Saccharomyces cerevisiae S288C: one gene and its partners. Changing the gene in region 4 together with the main gene of any one other region gives a genetic interaction. Each region holds a gene or a part of one and is shown on either strand. Other genes may lie near its edges.

Evidence for each region.
Region 1: mutations in YFH7 (region 4) and AZR1 together harm fitness more than expected from each alone (negative genetic interaction), as found in Saccharomyces cerevisiae (one large-scale study listed by BioGRID).
Region 2: mutations in YFH7 (region 4) and YLR159W together harm fitness more than expected from each alone (negative genetic interaction), as found in Saccharomyces cerevisiae (one large-scale study listed by BioGRID).
Region 3: mutations in YFH7 (region 4) and ARR2 together harm fitness more than expected from each alone (negative genetic interaction), as found in Saccharomyces cerevisiae (one large-scale study listed by BioGRID).

The regions. Positions count from the first base shown.
Region 1 is NC_001139.9:941,031-945,147, forward strand, and holds AZR1 (azole transporter), read left to right. Parts: upstream 1-1,775; coding exon 1,776-3,617; downstream 3,618-4,117. Other genes in the region: phosphatidylinositol-3,5-bisphosphate binding protein HSV2, read right to left, coding at 1-1,185; AMA1 (Ama1p), read left to right, coding at 4,115-4,117. UniProt on the Saccharomyces cerevisiae protein: Transporter protein required for adaptation to high stress imposed by low-chain organic acids, in particular by acetic acid, and for resistance to azoles, especially to ketoconazole and fluconazole.
Region 2 is NC_001144.5:480,404-488,286, reverse strand, and holds YLR159W (uncharacterized protein), read right to left. Parts: upstream 2,943-7,883; coding exon 2,598-2,942; downstream 1-2,597. Other genes in the region: asparaginase ASP3-4, read left to right, coding at 998-2,086; YLR159C-A (uncharacterized protein), read left to right, coding at 2,445-2,576; asparaginase ASP3-3, read left to right, coding at 4,650-5,738; YLR157C-C (uncharacterized protein), read left to right, coding at 6,097-6,228; YLR157W-E (uncharacterized protein), read right to left, coding at 6,250-6,414; YLR157C-A (gag protein), read left to right, coding at 6,686-7,883.
Region 3 is NC_001148.4:936,692-944,783, reverse strand, and holds ARR2 (Arr2p), read left to right. Parts: upstream 1-5,112; coding exon 5,113-5,505; downstream 5,506-8,092. Other genes in the region: YPR204W (Y' element ATP-dependent helicase), read right to left, coding at 1-181; YPR203W (uncharacterized protein), read right to left, coding at 596-904; YPR202W (uncharacterized protein), read right to left, coding at 888-1,585, 1,734-1,752; ARR3 (Arr3p), read right to left, coding at 3,648-4,862; ARR1 (Arr1p), read left to right, coding at 5,752-6,636. UniProt on the Saccharomyces cerevisiae protein: Involved in resistance to arsenic compounds.
Region 4 is NC_001138.5:154,351-163,154, forward strand, and holds YFH7 (Yfh7p), read left to right. Parts: upstream 1-4,948; coding exon 4,949-6,010; downstream 6,011-8,804. Other genes in the region: mRNA splicing protein SAD1, read right to left, coding at 177-1,523; YFR006W (putative Xaa-Pro dipeptidase), read left to right, coding at 1,795-3,402; FAR7 (Far7p), read left to right, coding at 6,185-6,850; putative AAA family ATPase GCN20, read left to right, coding at 8,138-8,804. UniProt on the Saccharomyces cerevisiae protein: ATP-dependent kinase that could be involved in endoplasmic reticulum membrane assembly.

The DNA of each region.
Region 1 (4,117 bases), on a different chromosome or scaffold from region 4:
TTGCCACACCAGAACCAACGAATCGTCTTGTTCTCTATTATTAGAGTCTTGACACCAGCCAATTCTACATCTGTCTTTATAGAACTCGTTATCGTGAGTTACATCACCACTGTTGTCATTTCTGTGAGCGTCAAAGATTGGGTTCTTTAAGTGAGCATTGCATATCGACCACACAGAGTCCAAATACTTGGGCCTCCATAGGCCCTTCGGTATATAATTTTTCAAGGGATGGCTCGAACCATTGGCACGAGAGTGGTCTGGTGTATTCGTTTCTGTATTGGTTGTTTCAAAAATTTGGAAAATATGCAATGTTTGCTTATTTGACAATACGGCCAACTTACTACCATTGGGGCTGAAACTCATCTCGTAAATATCCGCCTTGTCCACCCCTCTTCTAAATTCTTTGATTAAAGTACCGTTATGCGTACTGAAGATTCTTATAAGTGTACCCTGGACGGAACATGTTGCTACCATGGTGCCTTGACGGTTCAGTCTAACCAGTTTGATGGGATTTTTATGTGCTTTAATGATGGAAGTGGGCAAAAGCGCTGATTCCTTCGGGTTTTGTGAATTATATTTTATTTGTGATAGGTCGGCTACTTGAATTTGGCCTACGCATTTATTCGATGGGAATGCAATGATTTCTAAGATTTTAGACTGTGACTGCGATGCTTGCGACTGGAGATGTTTGCTGCTACAAACGACATAGTCCACTGATCCATTGGGAGGGATATCCAAAATAGGACAAATTCTTTGAGGATTGGTTTGAAATTGGAAGATCTCTATTGTGTTCTCCAGGACTACCACAATATGAATCCTAGATAAAAACACGTCTTTAATGGAAGACATAAACTTCAAAGTAATCGTTTCCTTTTGCAAAAGATCATCCCAGATGATCAGTTTATTTAGAGCATGCCTTGGTCGTTTACCACCTCCGACTAGTGCGATGTAATTCGTACGATAAAGCATCCTGGTATAGCCAATCCCAGTGCCCCTGGATTGGTTGGTCGCAGACTCTTTAAATGTTTTCGATAGCTTACTAGTCAATGGATCTGTATTGAAAATACGAAATCCATTCTCTAACGCCACGCTGAAACACGAATCATCTTGGTTAAACGAAACGCTCAAAAATTTTGGTTTCCTCCTGTTGTTGACTGCCTCCCTTATAGGTCGACGAACATCCATCTGCTAGTTATGTATGCTTATAGTTGTCCTCTAATAATCGCTGCCTTTCCAGATCTTCTGGTTTCTCTTCCCTTTAACAATAGCCCCCGCAGTACGTATTACTAAGGTAAATAAATATAACCGGCTTTACAAGCCAGAAAGCCGTGATCACGTGATTATCAATTTCTTTATTTCATTTCGCTCAGATACTGCCAAAAGCCCCTGATCTTGAACACAAAGGTAAACAACGTTAATATGAACCTGGCTATCATCATTAGGATAGGCTCATTTTCTCTTTTTAACTCAGGCCCCTTTCTTGCACTGTTACCATAGGATCTTACCAATTTGCATTATTTCCGCCAACTAGCGGATATCCGCTGTATTTCCGCGCTTCTATATGCTATGGCTGGAAATACAATAAAAAGTGTCAAGCAGAACCACTACATTAATTTAAAGAAAAATGTCTTATATCAAAGAATCGGCACTGTATCAATTGATTATATATAATGCTAGAGTTTCCGTACCCTCTTGCAACGTCCTTTAAATCTTGTATCTTTTCTTCTACAATTGTAGTAACACCACGTCTACATTAGTATCTAAATTGCAGCCCAATGAAAGGCGAACCTAAGACTTACAGCATGAGCGACCTCTCATACTACGGTGAGAAAGCACAACAACAGAACGAGAAACAGCAAAAACAATATGTTGTGAGACGAAATTCTACGCAGTCAACATCAAAACAAAACGTGAGCGTGGTGCTCGAGGACAACGCCAGCGAAAGTAATGAACTACCTAAAGGGTTTATCTTGTACGCATCTTTGATAGCATTGGCTTTGTCGCTGTTTCTGGCAGCCTTGGATATCATGATAGTTTCTACAATCATTGAAGAAGTAGCTAAACAGTTTGGATCGTACTCTGAGATCGGGTGGTTATTTACCGGGTATAGCTTACCAAACGCTCTGTTGGCGTTGATATGGGGAAGAATTGCCACACCTATCGGATTCAAGGAGACCATGCTATTTGCTATTGTCATTTTTGAAATCGGGTCGCTGATCTCTGCTTTAGCAAATTCAATGAGTATGCTCATTGGTGGTAGAGTTATTGCTGGAGTCGGCGGTTGTGGTATTCAAAGTTTATCGTTCGTCATTGGTTCAACCCTGGTAGAGGAGTCGCAGAGAGGCATACTAATTGCTGTTTTGAGTTGTTCGTTTGCTATTGCATCTGTTGTTGGGCCTTTCCTTGGAGGAGTTTTCACCTCCAGCGTCACATGGAGATGGTGCTTCTATGTTAATTTACCGATCGGTGGCCTAGCATTTTTCTTATTCCTGTTCTTTTATAACCCAGGTTTAAGTACATTTCAAGAGACAATGGATAACATCCGCAAATTTCCATCACAGTTTATCGAAATTGTTCGGAATGTAGCATATCATTTATTGAAAATCAAAGGGTTTAGCAAACTTAATGGGTGGAGAAAGCCGTTCATGGAATTGATTTTCATGTATGATATTATCGAGTTTGTGTTTTGTTCAGCTGGATTCACATGTATTCTATTGGCTTTCACATTTGGCGGTAACCGGTATGCTTGGAACTCTGCATCCATCATTATTCTTTTCATCATCGGTATAGTCCTGGTAGTGTTAGCAGGTATCTATGATTTCCTTGTCTTCCCCAAATTTAATATAGTGAAAGCAACACCACATTACCAACCATTAATGTCATGGACAAATATCAAGAAACCAGGTATTTTCACGGTTAATATAGCCTTGTTTCTCACTTGTGCAGGATATATCAGTCAGTTTACGTATATTGTGCAATACTTCCAATTAATTTACAATGATTCCGCCTGGAGAGCCGCTGTACACCTGGTTGCTTGCATTATTTCTACAGTCGTTACAGCAATACTTTGCGGTGCTATCACCGACAAAACCCGCCAAATCAAACCGATTATTGTTATTTCAAGCATTTTTGGTGTTGTTGGTGCGGGTATATTAACCCTATTGAACAATAATGCCAATAACTCTGCTCACATCGGCCTTTTGATATTACCTGGCGTTGCTTTCGGTGGTTTGGCACAAAGTTCCATGCTCGCTTCTCAAATTCAGTTAGACAAGAAGAGCCCAACTTTTCGATCAGATTTTGTCTCTATTACCACTTTTAACACATTTTGCAAAAATCTAGGTCAAGCACTGGGAGGTGTCATCTCTAACACTGTTTTCAGTGCTGCTGCTATCAAGAAATTAACCAAGGCTAATATTCAGCTCCCAGATGGTACCACGGTAGACAATCTGGTAATCTATAGGCAGACCAATTTCGATGGCTCTCATTCCAAATTGGGCAATATAATTTCTGAATCTCTCACTGACGTCTTTTACATGGCATTAGGATTTTATGCATTATCTCTCATTTTTGCTGTTTTTGCTTCAAATAAGAAAGTCACAGCAAGCCTGAGATAAGTTAAGCACGATTTAGAAGGTGGCGAGCCTCAAAGTGTAAAGCTGCAGAAAAAATAAACATGACTTTTAGTAATTGGCTGTTTAGCTTGCTGAATTGTGTACCACAACTAACGATAACAGTAAGAGGGTAATCCGAGACAGTATGAGTACAGCTATTAAATAGTTAATTTAGATTTTTATACTGGTATGATAAACGACGTTCATATAGCAAGAGCGTCAATGCCTCTATGTCACCTTCAATAGAAGTTTCCCTTTTTATTTCGACTTTTGTTTTTGTATTTTTCGGCGTCTGCCTTGTTCCATTTTTAAGGCGCCAAAAATAAAATAAAATGATGAACGATTAGTACTCAAAGAACACTTTAATCCTTGGAAACAAAAAAATAAAAAATCAAAAGTTGAAGGAAGGTCAAATTTTCTTCCTCCAACGATAATAATACTTGCTTATATAACTCTTTTAAAGTTTTACAAAACTTTGGATCAGAAAAAAAGAAAAAAATATG
Region 2 (7,883 bases), on a different chromosome or scaffold from region 4:
ACACTTTATACCGATAGAGGAATAACGCATAGAGCCTTCGTAGAATTCTTCAACTCGTACGTGATGGGGATTCTAAACCTATCGTCATGTCGCTGTACAAGGCTGCTGCCTGCTTTCAAATTCCCAATTTTACCATGTCCGTTTCGCTGAGCCGAATCGTCACACAAGGTAATTAGTTCTGGGTATCGCTTCAGTATAGCACTGGTTTTTTCCTTGTAAAACCACAGTCTAACAATTAAATGAAGCTTTTCGAAGAAATTAGACCATGTTAGACTGAAAGCAAAGACTCCGGCCCGTTCTGAGGTAAGTTCAATGAAATTGGACAGTTTCTTTTCAAGGTTAGGTTTTGTGTTCGAAAAAAATAGATTACCGCACCTCCTTTCCAAACCCCATGAGTTTCCATTAAGGAAGAGCAACGTCAATAATACCACCTTTTGCAGATGTGATTCAACTCAAGATGCTGTAATCTTTCCCTTCTGACCCTAGATCACCTCATGATATCCTTTTGAGGCAATTAAAGCTGCAGTGTAAACTGTTGAATATCTTTTTGAAACCAAAAAAAAGGACGTTCCACACTTGGCTGCTTTCTTGATAAGCGAGATCTTTACTTGGAGATCTCGCTTAGTCCTCCGAAGGGTAAACCCCGTCTCTTATCTTTAAAAAAATGTATCAGACCCTTCAGCACGTGACAGACAGCAAACTACCAGTCGACGAGGATGCTTTTCCGAAAGTCATGACACAAGGGAAGGACTGTAAGATCGATATCGGCGCAGTCTTATCGGATGTTCCAAGTCCTTGTCTCTTTCATTATCTGCTTGCTATCGCAAAAAAAAAAAAATCAATTTGTTTAATATCAACACATAATGTACAAGAACAAATCATGACATACAAAAGCCATATAAGATGAGTCTTCAAGCAGCACCAAGAGGCCTGAGGCAGAGCAAATGTTGGCTCGCTATTCTTTTGTAAGCAATCTGGTACTCACCAACCTCCAACTATGAGATCTTTAAATACCCTTTTACTTTCTCTCTTTGTCGCAATGTCCAGTGGTGCTCCACTACTAAAAATTCGTGAAGAGAAGAATTCTTCTTTGCCATCAATCAAAATTTTTGGTACCGGCGGTACTATCGCTTCCAAGGGTTCGACAAGTGCAACAACGGCGGGTTATAGCGTGGGATTAACCGTAAATGATTTAATAGAAGCCGTCCCATCTTTAGCTGAGAAGGCAAATCTGGACTATCTTCAAGTGTCTAACGTTGGTTCAAATTCTTTAAACTATACGCATCTGATCCCATTGTATCACGGTATCTCCGAGGCACTAGCCTCTGATGACTACGCTGGTGCGGTTGTCACTCATGGGACCGACACTATGGAGGAGACAGCTTTCTTCTTAGATTTGACCATAAATTCAGAGAAGCCAGTATGTATCGCAGGCGCTATGCGTCCAGCCACTGCCACGTCTGCTGATGGCCCAATGAATTTATATCAAGCAGTGTCTATTGCTGCTTCTGAGAAATCACTGGGTCGTGGCACGATGATCACTCTAAACGATCGTATTGCCTCTGGGTTTTGGACAACGAAAATGAATGCCAACTCTTTAGATACATTCAGAGCGGATGAACAGGGATATTTAGGTTACTTTTCAAATGATGACGTGGAGTTTTACTACCCACCAGTCAAGCCAAATGGATGGCAATTTTTTGACATTTCCAACCTCACAGACCCTTCGGAAATTCCAGAAGTCATTATTCTGTACTCCTATCAAGGCTTGAATCCTGAGCTAATAGTAAAGGCCGTCAAGGACCTGGGCGCAAAAGGTATCGTGTTGGCGGGTTCTGGAGCTGGTTCCTGGACTGCTACGGGTAGTATTGTAAACGAACAACTTTATGAAGAGTATGGTATACCAATTGTTCACAGCAGAAGAACAGCAGATGGTACAGTTCCTCCAGATGATGCCCCAGAGTACGCCATTGGATCTGGCTACCTAAACCCTCAAAAATCGCGTATTTTGCTACAATTATGTTTGTACTCCGGCTACGGCATGGATCAGATTAGGTCTGTTTTTTCTGGCGTCTACGGTGGTTAAAGCCTGATCAGTGACTTTTCATCACACTGTGTTTTTATATAGTTCTTAGTAGTAAATATACTCTATAATTTCTACATCCTTTTCATGATGTGCCAGTTAAGCTATTTTTAGCAAACAAAAAGATGAATTTGAGTATTGAGCACATCATTCACTGTTCAGCTGATACAAAACATATGATTTCTAATATTCACATAGGAAAAATCGCTCCAAACATCGAAGTATCATCGCTACTTTGGTCTTTTATCTGCTTCTCTTCTCTTCGCTCTTTTCACTGCTCGTGCCGCTGCAACGCTCCAACTCAGTTCTATCTCAGCTCCTTCCCCTTATCCCTTGAGCAGTGTCAAGGCGAGGCTGCGTGATGTATTCGTGCGCGAAAAAAAAAACAACTGCAGCACCTGAGTTTCGCGTATGGTCACCCACTACACTACTCGGTCAGGCTCTTACCAGCTTAACTACAGTTGATCGGACGGGAAACGGTGCTTTCTGGTAGATATGGCCGCAACCGAAATAGTTAGGTGTGGCAGCCGTACATATGGAAGCCGGGCGATGGCTCCGCCACGTGCAAAGTGCAGGAGCTTTGGAAAGAGCGTGCATATAGTGATGAAAACAGAGAGCACGGTTGCGAACGGAGGGTCTCACAATGTCTCAAAGGATAAATCTCTTGGTTTGCGGGCCGCATACAAGATATGATTGTAGTTTTTTCAATGGCTCTACTGTCCCACTGCTGTACAACAGAAAATGAGAGATCAGAGAAATAGTATTCCGGAAGCCAGTGGTGTTTACTTATTAGTTTTTTGACGCCACTGCGCGAGTTGCTGCCTAGCTGTTCCTTGGCCAACGCATATTGGAACTTCATTCGACTGATATGCTTACTCAGAGGTCCATTACTTCAAGAATTGTCTCACCTATCGGGCTTGGCGTTTGTACAAGAAGAAACTTTCATCACCTTTGTTTCGCCACCAAATGAAAAAAAAAACTTGCATGGCTTAGGTGGTTCTTTGTCAGAAATATCTTCTAAGGATCAAGAGTCTTACGTGATTCTAATCCCTTGGCAAGTCAGATCTCAAATATGCTCACTCGCAGATGAGTAGCAATGAATGCGACCAAGTGACTAGTGACTGGTGACGACATGAGCCAAGCTGGAACCAGCAGCTTTCACGTCGGCTTATAGCTCTCTATGGGGCAATCAACCACTCATAGTGACTGAAGATCTTTTTAATATAATTACATTGCTAAAAACGTCATACCGCCTTGTGAGCACGATAAACAGCATATGCATTGAGCCTTGTTATTCTTCGGAACTGGGGATAGTAAAATGCGACCCGCTTAGGATGATCAAGCTATCTTTGGGACGGAGTTTTGTCATGGGAGTGGTCATCCTACTGGTGATGCTTCAACATTTGATTTACTAAATTTTGAAATCGGCCGCAGAATAAAACTATTATGTCCAAACAATTGATGGTCGAACCAACGTTAAGGGTTTCAAGTATTGAATTGAACTTTTATGAGTTCTATAATTTCGTTGCGCAAATTCAACTAAACCACCAATATCCCCCCTACAACGCTACACTTTATACCGATAGAGGAATAACGCATAGAGCCTTCGTAGAATTCTTCAACTCGTACGTGATGGGGATTCTAAACCTATCGTCATGTCGCTGTACAAGGCTGCTGCCTGCTTTCAAATTCCCAATTTTACCATGTCCGTTTCGCTGAGCCGAATCGTCACACAAGGTAATTAGTTCTGGGTATCGCTTCAGTATAGCACTGGTTTTTTCCTTGTAAAACCACAGTCTAACAATTAAATGAAGCTTTTCGAAGAAATTAGACCATGTTAGACTGAAAGCAAAGACTCCGGCCCGTTCTGAGGTAAGTTCAATGAAATTGGACAGTTTCTTTTCAAGGTTAGGTTTTGTGTTCGAAAAAAATAGATTACCGCACCTCCTTTCCAAACCCCATGAGTTTCCATTAAGGAAGAGCAACGTCAATAATACCACCTTTTGCAGATGTGATTCAACTCAAGATGCTGTAATCTTTCCCTTCTGACCCTAGATCACCTCATGATATCCTTTTGAGGCAATTAAAGCTGCAGTGTAAACTGTTGAATATCTTTTTGAAACCAAAAAAAAGGACGTTCCACACTTGGCTGCTTTCTTGATAAGCGAGATCTTTACTTGGAGATCTCGCTTAGTCCTCCGAAGGGTAAACCCCGTCTCTTATCTTTAAAAAAATGTATCAGACCCTTCAGCACGTGACAGACAGCAAACTACCAGTCGACGAGGATGCTTTTCCGAAAGTCATGACACAAGGGAAGGACTGTAAGATCGATATCGGCGCAGTCTTATCGGATGTTCCAAGTCCTTGTCTCTTTCATTATCTGCTTGCTATCGCAAAAAAAAAAAAATCAATTTGTTTAATATCAACACATAATGTACAAGAACAAATCATGACATACAAAAGCCATATAAGATGAGTCTTCAAGCAGCACCAAGAGGCCTGAGGCAGAGCAAATGTTGGCTCGCTATTCTTTTGTAAGCAATCTGGTACTCACCAACCTCCAACTATGAGATCTTTAAATACCCTTTTACTTTCTCTCTTTGTCGCAATGTCCAGTGGTGCTCCACTACTAAAAATTCGTGAAGAGAAGAATTCTTCTTTGCCATCAATCAAAATTTTTGGTACCGGCGGTACTATCGCTTCCAAGGGTTCGACAAGTGCAACAACGGCGGGTTATAGCGTGGGATTAACCGTAAATGATTTAATAGAAGCCGTCCCATCTTTAGCTGAGAAGGCAAATCTGGACTATCTTCAAGTGTCTAACGTTGGTTCAAATTCTTTAAACTATACGCATCTGATCCCATTGTATCACGGTATCTCCGAGGCACTAGCCTCTGATGACTACGCTGGTGCGGTTGTCACTCATGGGACCGACACTATGGAGGAGACAGCTTTCTTCTTAGATTTGACCATAAATTCAGAGAAGCCAGTATGTATCGCAGGCGCTATGCGTCCAGCCACTGCCACGTCTGCTGATGGCCCAATGAATTTATATCAAGCAGTGTCTATTGCTGCTTCTGAGAAATCACTGGGTCGTGGCACGATGATCACTCTAAACGATCGTATTGCCTCTGGGTTTTGGACAACGAAAATGAATGCCAACTCTTTAGATACATTCAGAGCGGATGAACAGGGATATTTAGGTTACTTTTCAAATGATGACGTGGAGTTTTACTACCCACCAGTCAAGCCAAATGGATGGCAATTTTTTGACATTTCCAACCTCACAGACCCTTCGGAAATTCCAGAAGTCATTATTCTGTACTCCTATCAAGGCTTGAATCCTGAGCTAATAGTAAAGGCCGTCAAGGACCTGGGCGCAAAAGGTATCGTGTTGGCGGGTTCTGGAGCTGGTTCCTGGACTGCTACGGGTAGTATTGTAAACGAACAACTTTATGAAGAGTATGGTATACCAATTGTTCACAGCAGAAGAACAGCAGATGGTACAGTTCCTCCAGATGATGCCCCAGAGTACGCCATTGGATCTGGCTACCTAAACCCTCAAAAATCGCGTATTTTGCTACAATTATGTTTGTACTCCGGCTACGGCATGGATCAGATTAGGTCTGTTTTTTCTGGCGTCTACGGTGGTTAAAGCCTGATCAGTGACTTTTCATCACACTGTGTTTTTATATAGTTCTTAGTAGTAAATATACTCTATAATTTCTACATCCTTTTCATGATGTGCCAGTTAAGCTATTTTTAGCAAACAAAAAGATGAATTTGAGTATTGAGCACATCATTCACTGTTCAGCTGATACAAAACATATGATTTCTAATATTCACATAGGAAAAATCGCTCCAAACATCGAAGTATCATCGCTACTTTGGTCTTTTATCTGCTTCTCTTCTCTTCGCTCTTTTCACTGCTCGTGCCGCTGCAACGCTCCAACTCAGTTCTATCTCAGCTCCTTCCCCTTATCCCTTGAGCAGTGTCAAGGCGAGGCTGCGTGATGTATTCGTGCGCGAAAAAAAAAACAACTGCAGCACCTGAGTTTCGCGTATGGTCACCCACTACACTACTCGGTCAGGCTCTTACCAGCTTAACTACAGTTGATCGGACGGGAAACGGTGCTTTCTGGTAGATATGGCCGCAACCGAAATAGTTAGGTGTGGCAGCCGTACATATGGAAGCCGGGCGATGGCTCCGCCACGTGCAAAGTGCAGGAGCTTTGGAAAGAGCGTGCATATAGTGATGAAAACAGAGAGCACGGTTGCGAACGGAGGGTCTCACAATGTCTCAAAGTGTTGGAATAGAAATCAACTATCATCTACTAACTAGTATTTACATTACTAGTATATTATCATATACGGTGTTAGAAGATGACGCAAATGATGAGAAATAGTCATCTAAATTAGTGGAAGCTGAAACGCAAGGATTGATAATGTAATAGGATCAATGAATATAAACATATAAAACGGAATGAGGAATAATCGTAATATTAGTATGTAGAAATATAGATTCCATTTTGAGGATTCCTATATCCTCGAGGAGAACTTCTAGTATATTCTGTATACCTAATATTATAGCCTTTATCAACAATGGAATCCCAACAATTATCTCAACATTCACCCATTTCTCATGGTAGCGCCTGTGCTTCGGTTACTTCTAAGGAAGTCCACACAAATCAAGATCCGTTAGACGTTTCAGCTTCCAAAACAGAAGAATGTGAGAAGGCTTCCACTAAGGCTAACTCTCAACAGACAACAACACCTGCTTCATCAGCTGTTCCAGAGAACCCCCATCATGCCTCTCCTCAACCTGCTTCAGTACCACCTCCACAGAATGGGCCGTACCCACAGCAGTGCATGATGACCCAAAACCAAGCCAATCCATCTGGTTGGTCATTTTACGGACACCCATCTATGATTCCGTATACACCTTATCAAATGTCGCCTATGTACTTTCCACCTGGGCCACAATCACAGTTTCCGCAGTATCCATCATCAGTTGGAACGCCTCTGAGCACTCCATCACCTGAGTCAGGTAATACATTTACTGATTCATCCTCAGCGGACTCTGATATGACATCCACTAAAAAATATGTCAGACCACCACCAATGTTAACCTCACCTAATGACTTTCCAAATTGGGTTAAAACATACATCAAATTTTTACAAAACTCGAATCTCGGTGGTATTATTCCGACAGTAAACGGAAAACCCGTACGTCAGATCACTGATGATGAACTCACCTTCTTGTATAACACTTTTCAAATATTTGCTCCCTCTCAATTCCTACCTACCTGGGTCAAAGACATCCTATCCGTTGATTATACGGATATCATGAAAATTCTTTCCAAAAGTATTGAAAAAATGCAATCTGATACCCAAGAGGCAAACGACATTGTGACCCTGGCAAATTTGCAATATAATGGCAGTACACCTGCAGATGCATTTGAAACAAAAGTCACAAACATTATCGACAGACTGAACAATAATGGCATTCATATCAATAACAAGGTCGCATGCCAATTAATTATGAGAGGTCTATCTGGCGAATATAAATTTTTACGCTACACACGTCATCGACATCTAAATATGACAGTCGCTGAACTGTTCTTAGATATCCATGCTATTTATGAAGAACAACAGGGATCGAGAAACAGCAAACCTAATTACAGGAGAAATCTGAGTGATGAGAAGAATGATTCTCGCAGCTATACGAATACAACCAAACCCAAAGTTATAGCTCGGAATCCTCAAAAAACAAATAATTCGAAATCGAAAACAGCCAGGG
Region 3 (8,092 bases), on a different chromosome or scaffold from region 4:
AGCAACCGCATCGGCCCAACCTGATCATGCAATTAGCAAGCAACACTGTGTACGGTACAAACAGAAACGACACATATTTCACGTCGCCCTTAGACGCCAGTGCTATCAAGGGGAGATGAAATAACTCCGTCTTACCATAGCCCGGTGGGGCCTGTACTGCCACAGAGGGTGTGTCTGCCATGTATATTTCATGACATAAGCGCAACTGATGCAAGTCCCTGAATTCAAAGGAGCTGCCAAAGAGTTTCTGGCCTGCGACGAGGATATCGTTTGTACTCTTGGGCTCTCGGGGCCTTTTTCGCGTTACTCTTGAAATTTTTTGATGATGATCTGAACTCGCCGCCTCACCTGCCACTACGTCTTCCGCATTCCGAGTACTAGAGAATGAACAATGGTAGTCGCTTTCAAGGCCTAACCATTGAATCCAGCGCTCGGAAGTGAGTCCGTCAAGCGTCTTTAGTCGAGGCTCCGATGAACCGTTCTTGTTGTATCGTCGACGTATACGTTGCGCTGTAGCTCTGGATAACGGTAAGCGTATCACCGTAAGCTCGTCAATTATTTTTGAGAGCCGCGGTCATTTTGTTAGTATCTCTTCTCAACTTGGGCAGCACACATGCAAAACATCACCCAATCGGTCCTTTTTGTTCATCATATCGTTACATATCTGTGAAAAGTACTTTATCTCAATGGGTTTACGTGGGCATAGATCACGCTTCAGCCGCTCTGTGTCGACTTTCTTTTCGCCAGGTAAACTTGCTTGGTATGCAGAAAAAATCGATAGCTCATCTACGTGTAGTAACAAAAACATGTGGGGTGCCAAATTGTACCCATATTTCCTTATGGTGCTTTTCTGAAGACTCCTTACAATAGGTGCGCCAGAAACAAAGTCAGTGAAAGTACGCATCGTAGAGCTGTCGTTCGGCCTGGCACTCGCTATTTCGTGACAACGTTCCAGGACACGGAAAACTCAACTCATTATAGTATCCTCTGTTGAGGTAAAAAAGAGAAAGGGTATCGTAATCCTTTCTATTGAATTTCAAAGTATGCACTTGAAACAACGTGTAGACCATCAAGTTGATTTTCTTGGGAATAAGATACTTTGAAGGGATTGGTCCGCCCTGGAAATCTGGTTCGTCTTCAACAAATGTCAGGAACTTTTGTACATTTTTCCCGACCATGACGGAAATGACAATTTTTTCAAAAGACCTTTTCCTATCCATTGCACCAGTTCTGAATTTTACCACTTTGATTAGGCCAGACTTTTCGTCTTCGTAGAATGACCGCACTTCCGTGGGGATCGATTCAAATAAAGTTATTGAGGGACAATGTACCAAGTCGTTTTTGTTATTTAGAGCCGACTCAAACTCGTCAAAGTTTGCTTTTTCAAACTTACGCCTATCGGAAACTTTCATTTTATTTTTGTAAGTTTCGAAATTAACAATAGTATGTTGATTGTTATGCTTTTTGACAAGAAATCCATCAATATAAACAAAAGATTGTCCAGTTTCCGTCTTATCATCATCTGAGAATGTAATAATTAAGCTATTGAGAAGATGCAGAATCTGCGCTATGCAGGTGCAAATCTCTAGCAGCAGCAAAGTAAATTCAGTTAGTAAGCAATCTCACTAAGATAAGCGACTGTCTGTCCCCTTCAAGCACAACATAGAAAACAGAAGGATGTCTCATTCATCGCTTGATTTCCGGCCTGCAAAAATAAAGTAGTCGGTACGTACGTTCGTTTTCAATTTCCATGGTGCACAGTATCTTAACTATCTGCTTAGTCGAGGAGAACCAGGATTCTGTTCGTTGCTCAGCCGCTTCGTGGATATTCTCTTGGATACTTTAAACATGGACCTACGCTTAGCCTGCGCTTAGCCTACAACTTCTTCCGCTCTCGAAAAGACCAATATAATAAAAAGTTATAAATTACATTTCCTTATTAGGTATACGACCTCACGCTTCGAAGTAAAGGAGCCTACCACTCTATACCACCACTACCACCACCGCCACTTGCCACACTCACCTTCACTTCTACTGATATGTCATACGCACACGGATGCTACAGTATATACCATCTCAAACTTACCCTACTTTCATATTCCACACCATGGCCCCATTCTCACTAAATCAGTACTAGATGCACTCACATCATTATGCACGGCACTTGCCTCAGCGGTCTATACCCTGTGCCATTCACCCATAAAGCCCATGATTATCCACATTTTAATATCTACATCTCATTTTGCGGTTCCAAATATTGTATAACTGCACCATATACTAACCACTCAATTTATACACACTTATGTCAATATAACCACAAAATCACCACCAAAATCACCTAAACATAAAAATTAACCATTCATTAATGAGAAGATATAAACATACTAAATATTAACATAATTGAAATATCGTAAACATAACACCCTATTCATTAAATTGTCTATTACTTGTGCCATTTACCCATAACATTCATGATCATCCACATTTTAATTTTCTAAAATTGATCACAGAACCTCCATTATCATATCAATACTCTCAACTTCATGCTTTATAACGTTTTCATACAAATTAACCACTATAAGGTATCATAGCTATTTGCATTCTCATCACCTTTCAGTGAATTCCAATTTAATAGCAGAATATACTCGCGCAGCTGCTATGGTGCGTTTTTAATCTCTCCCCACCTTGGTATTCTATAATTATGCATACATGGTCTTGTGGTATCTTTGATATCGAATAGTTTATGCTTGCAATTTCAGCCTAATAATGGCGACATAAGACGTGTCCTCATGTCGCTATTCAAACGCAACTACAAGATCTTCTTACTCCCTATACTCATTCCCGGTGCCACTATATAACACCACTATGCTATACTATAATAGCAATACACATTAACGCAGATGCTATAATATCTTTACTTCATCTCACCAACTCAACTGATAATCATACAGACAGTACTATACAATACAGTCATTTACTAAAACGAATGCCGCTCCATGATATCCCAAACTTATACTGGCACCATTTTGAAACATTATATGTCACCTCTTCATCCTAATGACTTCAACTTCATGCATTATAAAATGGCAGCTACACGTACTTATGCGGGTACTACGACATAAGCTTATCTTGTCCTATTTCGTTACGTTAATTTTAATTAGACACTAGATGCACGAATTCCATTTTTATGCGAATGATCTATGAAGCCATTGTTGTACCATCACCATGTGCTATTCCATCGGGCTTACAATACTTGGGTTTAAAGCATTACTAATCTTGCAGGAAAATCTCAAAAATGACATACAATACGCAATAATAATTTTTCAGCGAGTTTCTAATTCAAAGACATTGTATTTAGAAGTGATGTACGTAACACAGTTTGCCACTTGAGTTCATTAGACTTTCAAAAATGCAATAGTAAGATTACGTCCCCTTCTTACTGAACTCCAAAACTGTGCGGAGTTTTTGAATGATGCGGGATGGCGTGAACAAACCCATTTTTTCATCCTAACCATCACTAAGATCAATCAGTTGTCCTTCAAAAAAAATTGTCAATTTTATCTGTTTTTAGGGTGAACTTGGATTAATATAGAGTTATAAGTGGTATTATTCATTGGTGCCCAAGTAATTTTTTGGTGAGTCAACAATTAATTTCTATTGTTCCATATATAATATGGTTTAAGGATCCTCGCGACTATTGCCAAAATCAATAAAATTGGAACTTCTAGCAACGGCCCAAATGTTGCAGCTATTGCTTGCTTGCTATTGTTACCATATAAGGAAATAGCAATTGCCAGGGATAGTTCAAAATTATTTGAAGCCATAGTGAAACATTGCGTCATCGTAATAGAAAAGCTAGCTTCACAAGACTTTCTTCCCCAGACCCTCTTTAAAAGTAGTTCTTGGTCACAGCTACATTCTCTTTGTGTATCACTCCTAGATATTGATAAGTACCTCATTAATGCGAAGGTCAAAAACCATGCAATAAAGAAGTAAAGCACCAATGGGACAAAGCACAATATTGCAGAACCAATTTCGTGGATAAATTGATAACCTCTACTAATAAAAATAACAAATAAAGTGTAATGAAATCCGATCATTGCCCATGGAGAAATAAATCTCAAAATGTATTTTTCATAATTACTTTTACCAGCTATGGTAAGACTTCCCAAACGTATGATAATGCCAATTCCCAGTGGTATGCCGAGAAAAACTCCGACAGACTTTGCAACCTCTTCGAATAATACCCTATTTGAAGTATTCAGGTGGTCATGAGAAATAACATAACAGTAAAATATCTGCAATGGTGCATATAATACCATCTGTAAAAGCGAGTTTGTAATAACAAGCACGACGCAGAGATCATTGTCTCCTCCAGCAATCTGATTCCAAATTAGCACCATGGCAATGCATCTAGCTACTCCGATCATAATAATGCCTTGACGGTATTCCTTATAATCGAATAGCGCCATCCACGCCAATGCTGTCATCAACAAAGGACCGATGACCCAATTCAAAAATAACGAGAGGGCTAGTTGCTTCCTTATATAGCTCCTGTAGAAGTACTTGTGAATAGACTCCCAGGAAACTTTGCAGATCGGGGGAATCATCATTACAATCATACCAACAGTCAAAGGAATGGACACTCCCATTAGATTGGGATGACCTTCAGCGTCAAAAGTGTGACGGGAAGAAGGCACATAGACAGAAATTATTACTGCAATGATTATGGAGAGAATTATAGTAAATGGCAACATCAAGTCAAGCCATGACAATGACTTGATCGTAGTCAGTATATCGGTGCGATTCACCATATTAACCTTAGAAGGTACCGAATTTTCACTTTTTTGATCTTCTGACATTATTCTACTAACCTGATGATTTGTTGGTTGGGTTCTCTTGAATTACAACGAGAGCATTCATTTATATTCTTTTCCGTTTACATTATAATTATGTAAGGAGCGTTGCCGCTAAAGTTGATTATTAATCAAACAAAAAGATAATTAAGAGCATTCAAAATTTGATTTTAAATCAACACTTTTGAAAAGTCGGTATAAAAACTAATGTATAACAAACTAATATTGAGGAAAACTTGACAATCCAGCAAGCGTAATGGTAAGTTTCATAACGTCTAGGCAACTCAAGGGCCTAATTGAAAATCAGAGGAAGGATTTTCAAGTTGTTGATCTTCGAAGAGAAGATTTTGCACGTGATCATATTACAAACGCTTGGCATGTTCCAGTAACAGCACAGATTACAGAGAAGCAACTGAATCAATTAATTAAAGGTTTATCCGATACTTTCTCAAGTTCTCAATTCGTCAAAGTGATATTTCATTGTACTGGGTCCAAGAATAGGGGACCAAAAGTAGCTGCTAAATTCGAAACCTACTTACAAGAAGAAGATATTACAAGTAAGTTTGAGAGTTGCATCCTCGTTGGAGGTTTTTACGCTTGGGAGACCCATTGTAGAGAGAGTAACCTTAAATTGATTGTTAGTGGTTGAGCTCCTCAAGCTTTATTGTTCCAGCATTAATGTAAAAGTCTTTTCAATATTTTATGTACGGCAAAACTTTTTAATTCCATTTTTTTTTTTTTTTTCGTTTCTTTTCTTATTAAATTAAATATAATTATAATTATAATATTCCTATCTTTACAAAATCATATTAGTATATAATTCTAGCATGCGGATGGTCTTTAAGGAGCGGCCGTTGAAAAAACATGTCAAAACGGAAGATAAGTGACCAAGATAATGGCAAAACCGCGTGGAAGAAAAGGCGGCAGGAAGCCTTCACTTACTCCACCTAAAAATAAGAGAGCTGCGCAACTTAGAGCATCCCAAAACGCATTTAGAAAACGAAAGTTGGAAAGATTAGAAGAACTAGAGAAGAAAGAAGCTCAGCTAACGGTAACAAATGATCAAATTCACATATTAAAGAAGGAAAATGAACTTCTCCATTTTATGTTGAGGAGTCTTTTGACTGAGAGGAACATGCCTTCTGATGAACGGAACATTAGTAAGGCCTGTTGTGAAGAAAAACCGCCCACATGTAACACTCTCGATGGTAGTGTGGTTCTTTCCTCCACATATAATTCCCTTGAAATACAACAATGCTACGTATTTTTCAAGCAACTGCTCTCAGTGTGTGTTGGAAAGAATTGTACAGTGCCGTCACCGTTGAATTCCTTTGATCGGTCCTTCTATCCCATAGGCTGTACGAATCTCTCAAATGACATACCAGGCTATTCTTTTCTAAATGATGCAATGAGTGAGATTCATACGTTTGGTGACTTTAATGGGGAACTTGATAGTACCTTTTTGGAGTTTAGTGGGACTGAAATAAAGGAGCCAAATAATTTCATTACTGAAAACACTAATGCAATAGAAACAGCGGCAGCGAGCATGGTGATTAGGCAGGGTTTCCATCCAAGACAGTATTATACAGTGGATGCTTTTGGAGGGGACGTCCTATTAAGTGCGATGGATATTTGGAGTTTTATGAAAGTGCATCCAAAGGTTAACACATTTGACCTTGAAATTTTGGGAACAGAACTTAAGAAAAGTGCTACGTGTTCTAATTTTGATATTTTAATTAGCCTCAAGCATTTCATTAAGGTCTTTTCGTCAAAATTATAATATTCTTCCTGTAAGCACAGCGCAACATTGTCTTTCTTATTGTTAATATATAAGTTAAAAGCCGAATTTTTCATTTATTTATATAGATGGCGTGAAGATTATTACGGTCAGATACCTTCGCCTATTTATGTACTTGCATGCGTTTAGATTTTATTGGAAAAAGTATTAATTTATCGTCTATCGACTAGTATTCACGTTACTAGTATATTCTGTATAGTTAATGATAGAGCCTTTATTTAAAATGGAAGTCCAATAACTATTTCAAAATCAAATTATATGTCAAAGATGTTCAACAAATTGGGAAGGCAAGAGGCGAGCACTAGGCCTGATACCCTTCTTAATGCCTTGACATACACGTGTCTATTTCTTTTTTCTTGTCGAGGTATTGAGGTATTGACCAATGCTGAATGCTTGATAATGTAATTAGGGATCGCGTACGACAAGTTTCAGCAATTGTTAGGGTGTTATTTTCATTGTTCCCGATTATGAGCACAATATGGCGGTCTTGTACTAGGATAACTTGGGCGTATGTTTCACTATACTAGAACCATGATTTTATCAGTGTAGAACAAATGCTGAAACTTTGATTCAAATACAAACATTTACTAAAACACTGTAATACGATCGATGTGGAGTATTCGATGAATATTTTTCATGTTTACGTTTATATAATTCCTTTCCAAACGCTTTTCGTCGATTAACTTGGAATTCTTCATAACATTGATTGGAACCCTTAGTTATCCATTCACCATGGAAAAGGTTTGAGAAAACTTTTTATAACTTTGTTGTAAACATATTATAGTAAAGTAGAAGAGCCTCTGCTATGCATGGTTAAGTAAAATTGCAATGTGCACGCAAGTATACATATATTGTAATTGATCGAAAAGAAGTTAAGAAATTTTTAATTACTAATGATTAATGGAAAGGAAAGGTCTTTTCTCATTTCGTTTTGTCATGATGTTCACAATAAGGGATATCAAGTAATCGGGCAACGCAAGTTAAACAGTTGCCAATTTGGAGCTGATATTTGATGGAATTTTTTTGGACTATTACAAATTGATTTATCGTCCTTCGTATGGACGTATCCATGGCAGTTTATTGGTTAGTTTCAGGTCTTTTTACGTAAGGAAGAATGCAATTAGTAGGTCACAGAACATAAGCGATAATGATTTCCAATTTCTGTATGTACTTATAAGCGTTCGTCAAAGCAGCTCTTTTAAGATTTCCCGAGTATAAGTTTAATAAAATATAAAGAATCATACCATTGGATGGATACAAAACAAAAAACAAGGGGACCTACCAATTTTTAATCATTCAAGATTGTTCTGACACTACCAGTCAAAGTCAATGGGTCCAGCGTACAACTCAGGGGGGCAATCCATTAAGAGAACATCAATGAGATTTTTTTGAGAAATTGATGAAGTTGCACAGAAAACGAATAGGTACCTCTTTGAGC
Region 4 (8,804 bases):
AAAGCCCACTACATATATATTATATTGTATTTTTCTAAAAATTCTAATGAAGTAGTTAATGGAATGAATGGGAAAGAGAAAACGCGTTAGGAGGGAAAAGGCTCCTTAAATAACAGTAAAAATGAAATGGCTACTGGTAGTCCCAGTGCCAATTTTTTTTTTTACTTTCTTTTCTTTCACTCTTGCTTTTCCCATACTTGTATAAACGTTTCCTTCAAAAATAAAAGCTCGGCTTCTCTCTCTGTCGTATTTATGCCATCTATTTCTATCCATTTTTCACTTTTGTTATCATACAGCTGAGTAATCCAATGGCTTTTTTCATCACCATTAAATGCGTTTCCATCTGTGGATGGTTGTTTAATGACCACATGGACCACATTTGCTTTTAAGCGATACTTGACGTGCAAAATTTCAAGTTCACTGGAAAATTCCACCAACGTTTGGTTTCTATTTTTGACAGGATGATCACTGTTACGGTCAAACCTATTGAAATGAAATATTAAAAACTGCGGTAATCGCGTTAGTTCAAAAACGGTGCTAGTAGAGGAGCTTCTTGACTTAGTAAATTTAGTCAATAATTTAGTGATATTTATTTGTGGGAGATCATCAACGCTGTTGCCATCTTCAAAGGGTGAAAACTCCGGCAAATCGAGAGTCAGAACCCAAAATGGTTTGACAATGACTTTTCCTGTAACAGACTCACTGGCCTCAGGCTTATTTTCAACTTTTGCTATCTTTACTTTGCCTTTACAAGAATGGTTTAAAATTGACTTTAAGTCGTTCGAGGACGAGCAAATTTTATTGAATAGCCACAAAAGGAAGAGACGCGGGTCTATAGGATTTAAATTTAAACCTTCTCTAACTTTCAAATAGGATACAAAATCGTCAACTGAAAGATGATGTTTGAATAGTTTAGGGGACCAAATTTTCTTTACACATATGGATAACCTTTTGATAAATTCCCCTTGATTATCAAAATGATTCAGTAGGAAGTGGTCCCGCACTGGAACCATGTGCGATATCAAAAGCAATACACTATGCGCATAGTCATAAGTTGCCGCATTGGTGAACCCTATAAATCCATTCAGATATGTGCGATTGCTCAAATCAAAACACTGTCTCGGAAAATCTTCTAGATCTTTTGGACAATAAGTCGGATAAGCTGCAAATTTTATGCTGTTCAACAATTGAACCTCACCGTCATGTAAAATTTGGACATTTTGCGGCAACATGTAAAACTTCAAACTTGTCAAATTCAAGAAGACGTGATGGTTTTCATCAATTGAATGTATGAAAGCAGGACTCTTTTCATGTCTCCCCTGATAATAATGTCCACACACGAGGCAACAATATACATTCAAAGGGGACAGAGTAATGCAGCAAATTTTCTCAGAATCGAAATCTAGTTTTTCTCTTACTACAGTCTCAAGATAGGCATAGTTTGGTTCCTGAGACTTTATCTTTTTTACTGCCTCCTGTTTTAACTCATCTTCTGAATGTCTCCTTTTGTTATCAACCTCCATTATAAACAGCGCTTTAGGTTAACGCCCACTAAATGATGAACCATGAAGAGCATGGTTAGATTGCTGCCAATTTTTTTTCCTATTTCGTCATTTTTTTATCAAGATTTTCCAGTTTTTTTTTTTTTTTTGGCATTGCTTACTATACGCGAGGGAGGTTCAATTGACACTTTCCGCTACGGCGATTCTTCAGAAACTGTGTCATCTTTTTTCCAGGTCGAGCTGTAGGAAAACCTGGGAAATATAGGTATATACCTGATCTGTTGTTGGAGTGATGTGCCTTGAACCAATCTCTCTTGTTGTTTTCGGATCCCTGGTGTTTTTCTTTGGCTTGGTGAAGTATTTCAAACGTGGAGAACGGCAAAGAACAAGAGGAATTTTACAGCCAGAGTACAAAGATAAGTATTATTACAGTAAAGAAAAAGGGGAAGAAATGGGCGAGGTAGCAAACGTAAATGAAATTCCGGTCAAGATAAGAAATCATAAGTATCCTGCGAAAGAACATAACTTGAGGGTTAAAGATTTGTTGTTAAATCGCAATCCGAAGCTATCAAAGATATCCACAGCATTTTTTATTGCTGGTGAAGAATTAGAGGGAAACAAGTATTGTGACACCAACAAAGATTTTAGACAGAATAGATATTTTTATCATTTGTCAGGTGTTGATATACCTGCTTCGGCGATATTGTTTAACTGTAGCACAGATAAGCTGACATTGTTTTTGCCAAACATCGATGAAGAAGATGTCATATGGAGCGGTATGCCTTTGAGTTTGGATGAGGCAATGAGAGTGTTTGACATTGATGAGGCCTTGTACATATCTGATCTGGGGAAAAAATTTAAAGAATTGCAAGACTTCGCTATCTTTACAACCGATTTGGACAATGTTCATGACGAGAATATTGCAAGATCACTAATTCCTTCAGACCCTAACTTCTTTTATGCTATGGATGAAACTAGAGCAATTAAGGATTGGTATGAAATTGAAAGCATCAGAAAAGCTTGTCAGATTTCAGACAAGAGCCATTTGGCCGTTATGTCCGCGTTGCCCATCGAACTGAACGAGTTACAAATACAAGCTGAATTTGAATACCATGCAACCCGTCAAGGTGGTCGTTCTTTGGGCTATGACCCCATTTGTTGTTCTGGACCGGCATGTGGCACTTTACATTACGTCAAGAATTCAGAAGATATCAAAGGTAAACATTCCATCTTAATTGATGCAGGTGCAGAATGGAGACAATATACAAGTGATATCACCAGATGTTTCCCAACTTCAGGCAAGTTTACTGCGGAACATCGTGAAGTTTACGAAACCGTTCTTGACATGCAAAACCAAGCAATGGAAAGGATTAAACCTGGTGCTAAATGGGACGATTTACATGCACTGACACACAAGGTTCTTATTAAACATTTCTTAAGTATGGGTATTTTCAAGAAAGAGTTTTCTGAGGACGAAATCTTTAAAAGAAGAGCTTCTTGCGCTTTTTATCCCCATGGACTAGGGCATATGTTGGGGCTTGATGTACACGACGTTGGTGGTAATCCAAACTATGACGACCCAGATCCAATGTTTAGATATTTAAGAATCCGCCGTCCTTTGAAAGAAAATATGGTTATCACTAATGAACCAGGTTGCTACTTTAATCAATTTTTGATCAAAGAATTTTTGGAAAAGCACCCCGAAAGATTGGAAGTTGTCGATATGAGCGTATTGAAAAGATACATGTATGTCGGTGGTGTTAGAATTGAAGATGATATCCTTGTTACCAAAGATGGTTACGAGAACTTAACTGGTATTACTTCTGACCCTGATGAAATTGAAAAAATCGTTCAAAAAGGTTTGAAGAAACCCCGTTCAGGTTTCCACGTAATCGTTTAGGTATTAACTTTTTTTTACTCGCTTCTAGAAGTTTAGTATATTCTTTTGTACACAGAATTGTATATTTTTTTTATAATCTTGGATTCACCATTTAACTAGATTTGGAAATATAAGGAATGGCACTGAAAAAATTAAGGACCAACCCCGAAGAGCAAAAAATGAATGCGAATTCTGTGGATCGAACACAGGACCTCCAGATAACTTGACCGAAGTTTTTTCTTCAGTCTGGCGCTCTCCCAACTGAGCTAAATCCGCTTCTATTTATGAAAAATTCATTGTTACAGGAACTATAGGACTATAATAACTAGCTGCTAACACCTTTAAATGTGACTTTTCTCATAAGGAAATCTAGCGATTCAGAATTCGAGAATTTTGCAGATTGCAAAGTTTTCTTTTTACCATAATATTTGAGAATGTTGTAAAACTTGAGATAATTATTCGGATGTCATTGTTGATTGAAGATAGCATTCCTATGAGTCGCCCTCGAGGACTTGGATCGAAAAATCTACATAATATTAGTAATTACTATTATTGTTGGAATTGGATAAACCGTCGTCCACCTATTTGAGAAATAGGTAATTATTATATGAGTTATTTGGTTCCTTTTTGTTAAAGTAATAATTTGAAATGCCATCCATTTGGTAATATTCATGTTATTGGCATATTATCATATGCGGTTCAGGAAGATGACATAAAAGTTGAGAAACAGTTATCAACCCTAATGGAAGCTGAAATGCAAGATTGATAATGTAATAGCATAATGAAACATATAAAACGGAATGGGGAATAATCGTAATATTATTATGTAGAACTACCGATTCCATTTTGAGGATTCCTACATCCTCGAGGAGACTTCTAGCATATTCTGTGTACATAATATTATGGTCTTGATCAACAATGCAATCCCAACAGTTATCAAATTATTCAGAAAATTGATCACATTTTCGATAAATCTATTATGAAAGTAAAATTTTGACTCATACCTAAGTTCTCGTTATTCGTTAATCTTATGAACTCATTAACCTTGGCGTTTCAGCATCCGCTATGATTACTAGTGCTTAAACCTTGTTATTCATGCCTCATAATTGATGCCATCTTCTAACCTCGAGCGTGATAAAATTTTTGTAATATGAACACCAATCGGCGGAAGATCATCCCAAAGCCACATATGATGGTGCCTTATAACATTAATAACAACTTCAACTGCTGCATACCGATAATATCTTGACGATTATGCATTCGTGTCCTGATAGCTAATGCCATGAAACAATTCTTTTCAATCGCACTTGCACCTTCGTGAAATAGAAGGGTTATCTGGGCTTATCAGACTTGTCCACAGTTTACATATAATTTTTTTTCTGTATTAAATTTTGTGAGCTTTCTTTTTACTCAAACGAACTGTGTTATTTTTCGTTCATTAAATGCGTACCTTTAAGCATCATCAAGTATTGCTCTTCGGGAAAAATGAAGTAACCTTGTTAGGTTAATTTCACTAGTACTATACATATTTTATCCTGTATCATACCAGAGGATCATTCTAGCCACAATGGTCGATACGCATAAACTAGCAGACGACGTTCTTCAGCTATTGGATAACCGTATCGAAGATAATTATAGGGTTTGTGTTATCCTAGTCGGTTCTCCAGGCTCCGGTAAGTCTACTATTGCGGAAGAACTTTGTCAAATTATAAATGAAAAATATCACACATTTTTGTCAGAGCATCCAAATGTTATTGAGGTTAATGATAGGTTGAAACCTATGGTTAACCTAGTAGACTCTTTAAAGACGCTCCAGCCCAATAAAGTAGCTGAAATGATTGAAAATCAGGGGCTGTTTAAAGATCATGTTGAGGATGTTAATTTTCAACCAGTCAAGTACTCAGCCCTTACATCAAATAATGAAGAATGTACCGCAGTAGTTGCCAGAGGTGGTACTGCGAATGCCATAAGAATCGCAGCAGTTGATAATCCAGTCAATGTTAACAAGTTGGCCCAGGATAGTATCAATATAGCGCAAATAGTCCCAATGGATGGTTTTCACTTATCTCGCAGATGTCTAGACCTATTCAAAGACCCACAAACTGCCCATAAAAGAAGAGGTTCGCCCTCAACGTTTGACAGTAACAATTTCTTACAATTGTGTAAAATTCTAGCCAAGACGTCCCTATGTAAGGTCTCCTCACATCATAAATTTTACTCCACTTCAAGCGTTTTTGAGAAGTTATCCAAAACTTTTAGCCAAACAATTCCTGATATCTTTGTTCCAGGATTTAACCATGCACTAAAAGACCCAACTCCAGATCAGTACTGTATTTCCAAATTTACAAGGATAGTTATACTTGAAGGGTTATACCTACTGTATGACCAAGAAAACTGGAAGAAAATTTACAAAACATTAGCTGATACGGGAGCACTTCTTGTTTATAAGATTGACATAGACTATGAGGCCACCGAAGAAAGGGTGGCCAAAAGGCATTTGCAATCAGGGTTAGTCACGACTATTGCAGAAGGACGAGAGAAGTTTCGCAGCAATGATTTGTTGAATGGCAGGGATATAGATAATCATTTAATTAAGGTAGATAATATCGTCCATATCCGCAACGACTAGAAGGTTAGGCGGAACCTTGTATATATTTTTGTAAAATCGAACTGAATACAGATAATTAAGGCGCGCAAGCAAAAACGGCATTCTTTATGAACTCTGCAGAGGTGCCCTTTATTACGACATATATGGGAAGTAATACATATTGATTCTACAAGAAGTTCAAGCCAAGGTTTAGATATGAGTGACCAAATCAACGTTTTGTCAATGCAACAACAACAACAGCAGCAGCAGCAGCAGCAGCAAGTATATATGTCTCCTCAAGCAGAAAACTTGAATCATATGTACTTGTTAGTTAACAAGCTAGTGAAACAGTTGAGGGAAAATCAAGCAGAAAAGGCGAAAATACTAAGGAACATAGACATATTATCCGGAAGCTTAAACAAGTATGAGACATCTGAAGAACCTCACGATACCACGGAAAATATTGCATTATTTAATAGATTTCTAGAACAAAGAGGGAAAGCTCCTATTACTGAGAAAGAGCAACTAAGCAACAATCTGGATGAAAATGCGAAAGATGACGTTATGCTAGGAGTGTTGAAGCGCCAAAATTCAATGCTCCGGAAAAGTTTACAGGAATCCAAGCAGGTAACCCTTGAATCCATGGATTTATTGTCTTACTCCGAAGACTCTTTAAATTACATTGTCGCCCAATTAAGAGGAAACATTCTAATGCATCATAAAGAGACTATCAAATTGATTAGGCAGAAATTCCAGACGGAGACAATTCCCCTCGAAGATGAAGAGTTCAAGATGTATTTGGAAAATGTTAATGGTCTGCAAAAATTGACAGATATATCTCACACTTATAGATTACTACTGAGGTTACATGCACAAGATTGAAACTTTGCCCTTTTGCTTCCAATGAAAGCAAGATGACAAATATACATGCTTCTTATATTCGAGATTGCGCAAAAATTCGAAGCTCATTTATGAAGGCTTTTTCCATTCTGATATATGTTTATGAAATTGAAAAAGTAACGACGGTGGAACATTTTGCGGGAAAACAACTCACAGAATGTCTTGACGTTCTTTTCCTGCAGTTGCGTGCGTAAGATATCCTAAGCTACTGTATTATTTGCCAAAAATAATAAAATGTTGGAGGAAAGCCTCTATAAATACACAGGATATATATGTTTAATAAACATATATAATTTCCTCAATATTTGCAAAAGCATTTTGTTGTGATGAGAGTCGATTATCGTTTACCGATTAGTATCTATACTATTAATATATTTTCATATAATTAGTATAATCTCATATACGCTGCCAGAAGATAACATGAAAATTAAGAAACAATCATCAGCTTCAATGGAAGTTGAAGTGCAAGGATAAATAATACTATTTAGAAATATGGATTTTCCCTCGTTGACTAGAAGATCTGTGAAGATTGGGTGAATAGTTTAATAATTATTGGATCCCATTATTGATCAAGGCTATAATACTTGACTATTTGGCGAATTTTGAGATAATTGTTGGGATTCCATTGTTGATAAAGGCCATAATATTATGTATACAGGATATACTAGAAGTTCTCCTCGATGATATAGGAATCCTCGAAATGGAATCTATATTTCTACATACTAATATTACGATTATTCCTCATTCCGTTTTATATGTTTCATTATCCTATTGCATTATCAATCCTTGCACTTCAGCTTCCTCTAACTTCGATGACAGCTTCTCATAACTTATGTCATCATCTTTACACCGTATATGATAATATATTGATAATATAACTATTAGTTGATAGACGATAGTGGATTTTTATTCCAACACACTAATTATCATTCGTTACATCTCAAATTGGTTAGAGAAGTTACAAACATTATTATTGATTTATCCAAGGATAGTTTTCACAAGAAAACAAGCGCAAGTGGTTTAGTGGTAAAATCCAACGTTGCCATCGTTGGGCCCCCGGTTCGATTCCGGGCTTGCGCAGTTTCTTTTTTTTCTGATTTTTATTTTTTTGTTCCTGAAAATTTTTCGTATTATTAGATCTAGTAGAAAATGAAAGACATTTGAAAAGAGAAATATATATTCTGCAGTAAGCTAGCTAAGACTAGTCGTTTTGAAGCGCTAAAACGTTAACTTCGATTCATAGCACAAAAGGTAAATAACTTTTTTGAAATGGCAAGCATCGGTTCGCAAGTGAGAAAAGCTGCTTCTAGTATTGACCCTATCGTCACGGATTACGCAGTGGGCTACTTTAACCACTTGTCCGGAATAACTTTTGATGCTGTTCAAAGTAAGCAGGTAGATTTGTCCACTGAAGTGCAATTTGTGTCCGATTTATTGATTGATGCGGGTGCGTCAAAGGCTAAAGTTAAAGAACTATCGGAAAGTATTTTGAAGCAATTGACTACTCAACTAAAGGAGAACGAAGCCAAATTGGAATTGACCGGTGATACGTCCAAGAGATTACTTGATATTAATGTCTTAAAGAGTCATAACAGTAAATCCGATATCAACGTCTCATTAAGCATGCTGGGTGTGAACGGTGACATCGAACATACTGGTAGAAAGATGGAAACAAGAGTTGATTTGAAAAAACTGGCCAAGGCTGAACAAAAGATCGCAAAGAAAGTCGCCAAGAGAAATAACAAATTTGTTAAATACGAGGCTTCTAAATTGATCAATGACCAAAAGGAGGAGGATTACGATTCTTTCTTTTTGCAAATCAACCCTTTAGAATTCGGTTCATCCGCTGGTAAATCCAAGGATATCCATATTGACACTTTCGACTTGTACGTTGGTGACGGTCAAAGAATTTTGTCCAACGCCCAATTGACTCTAA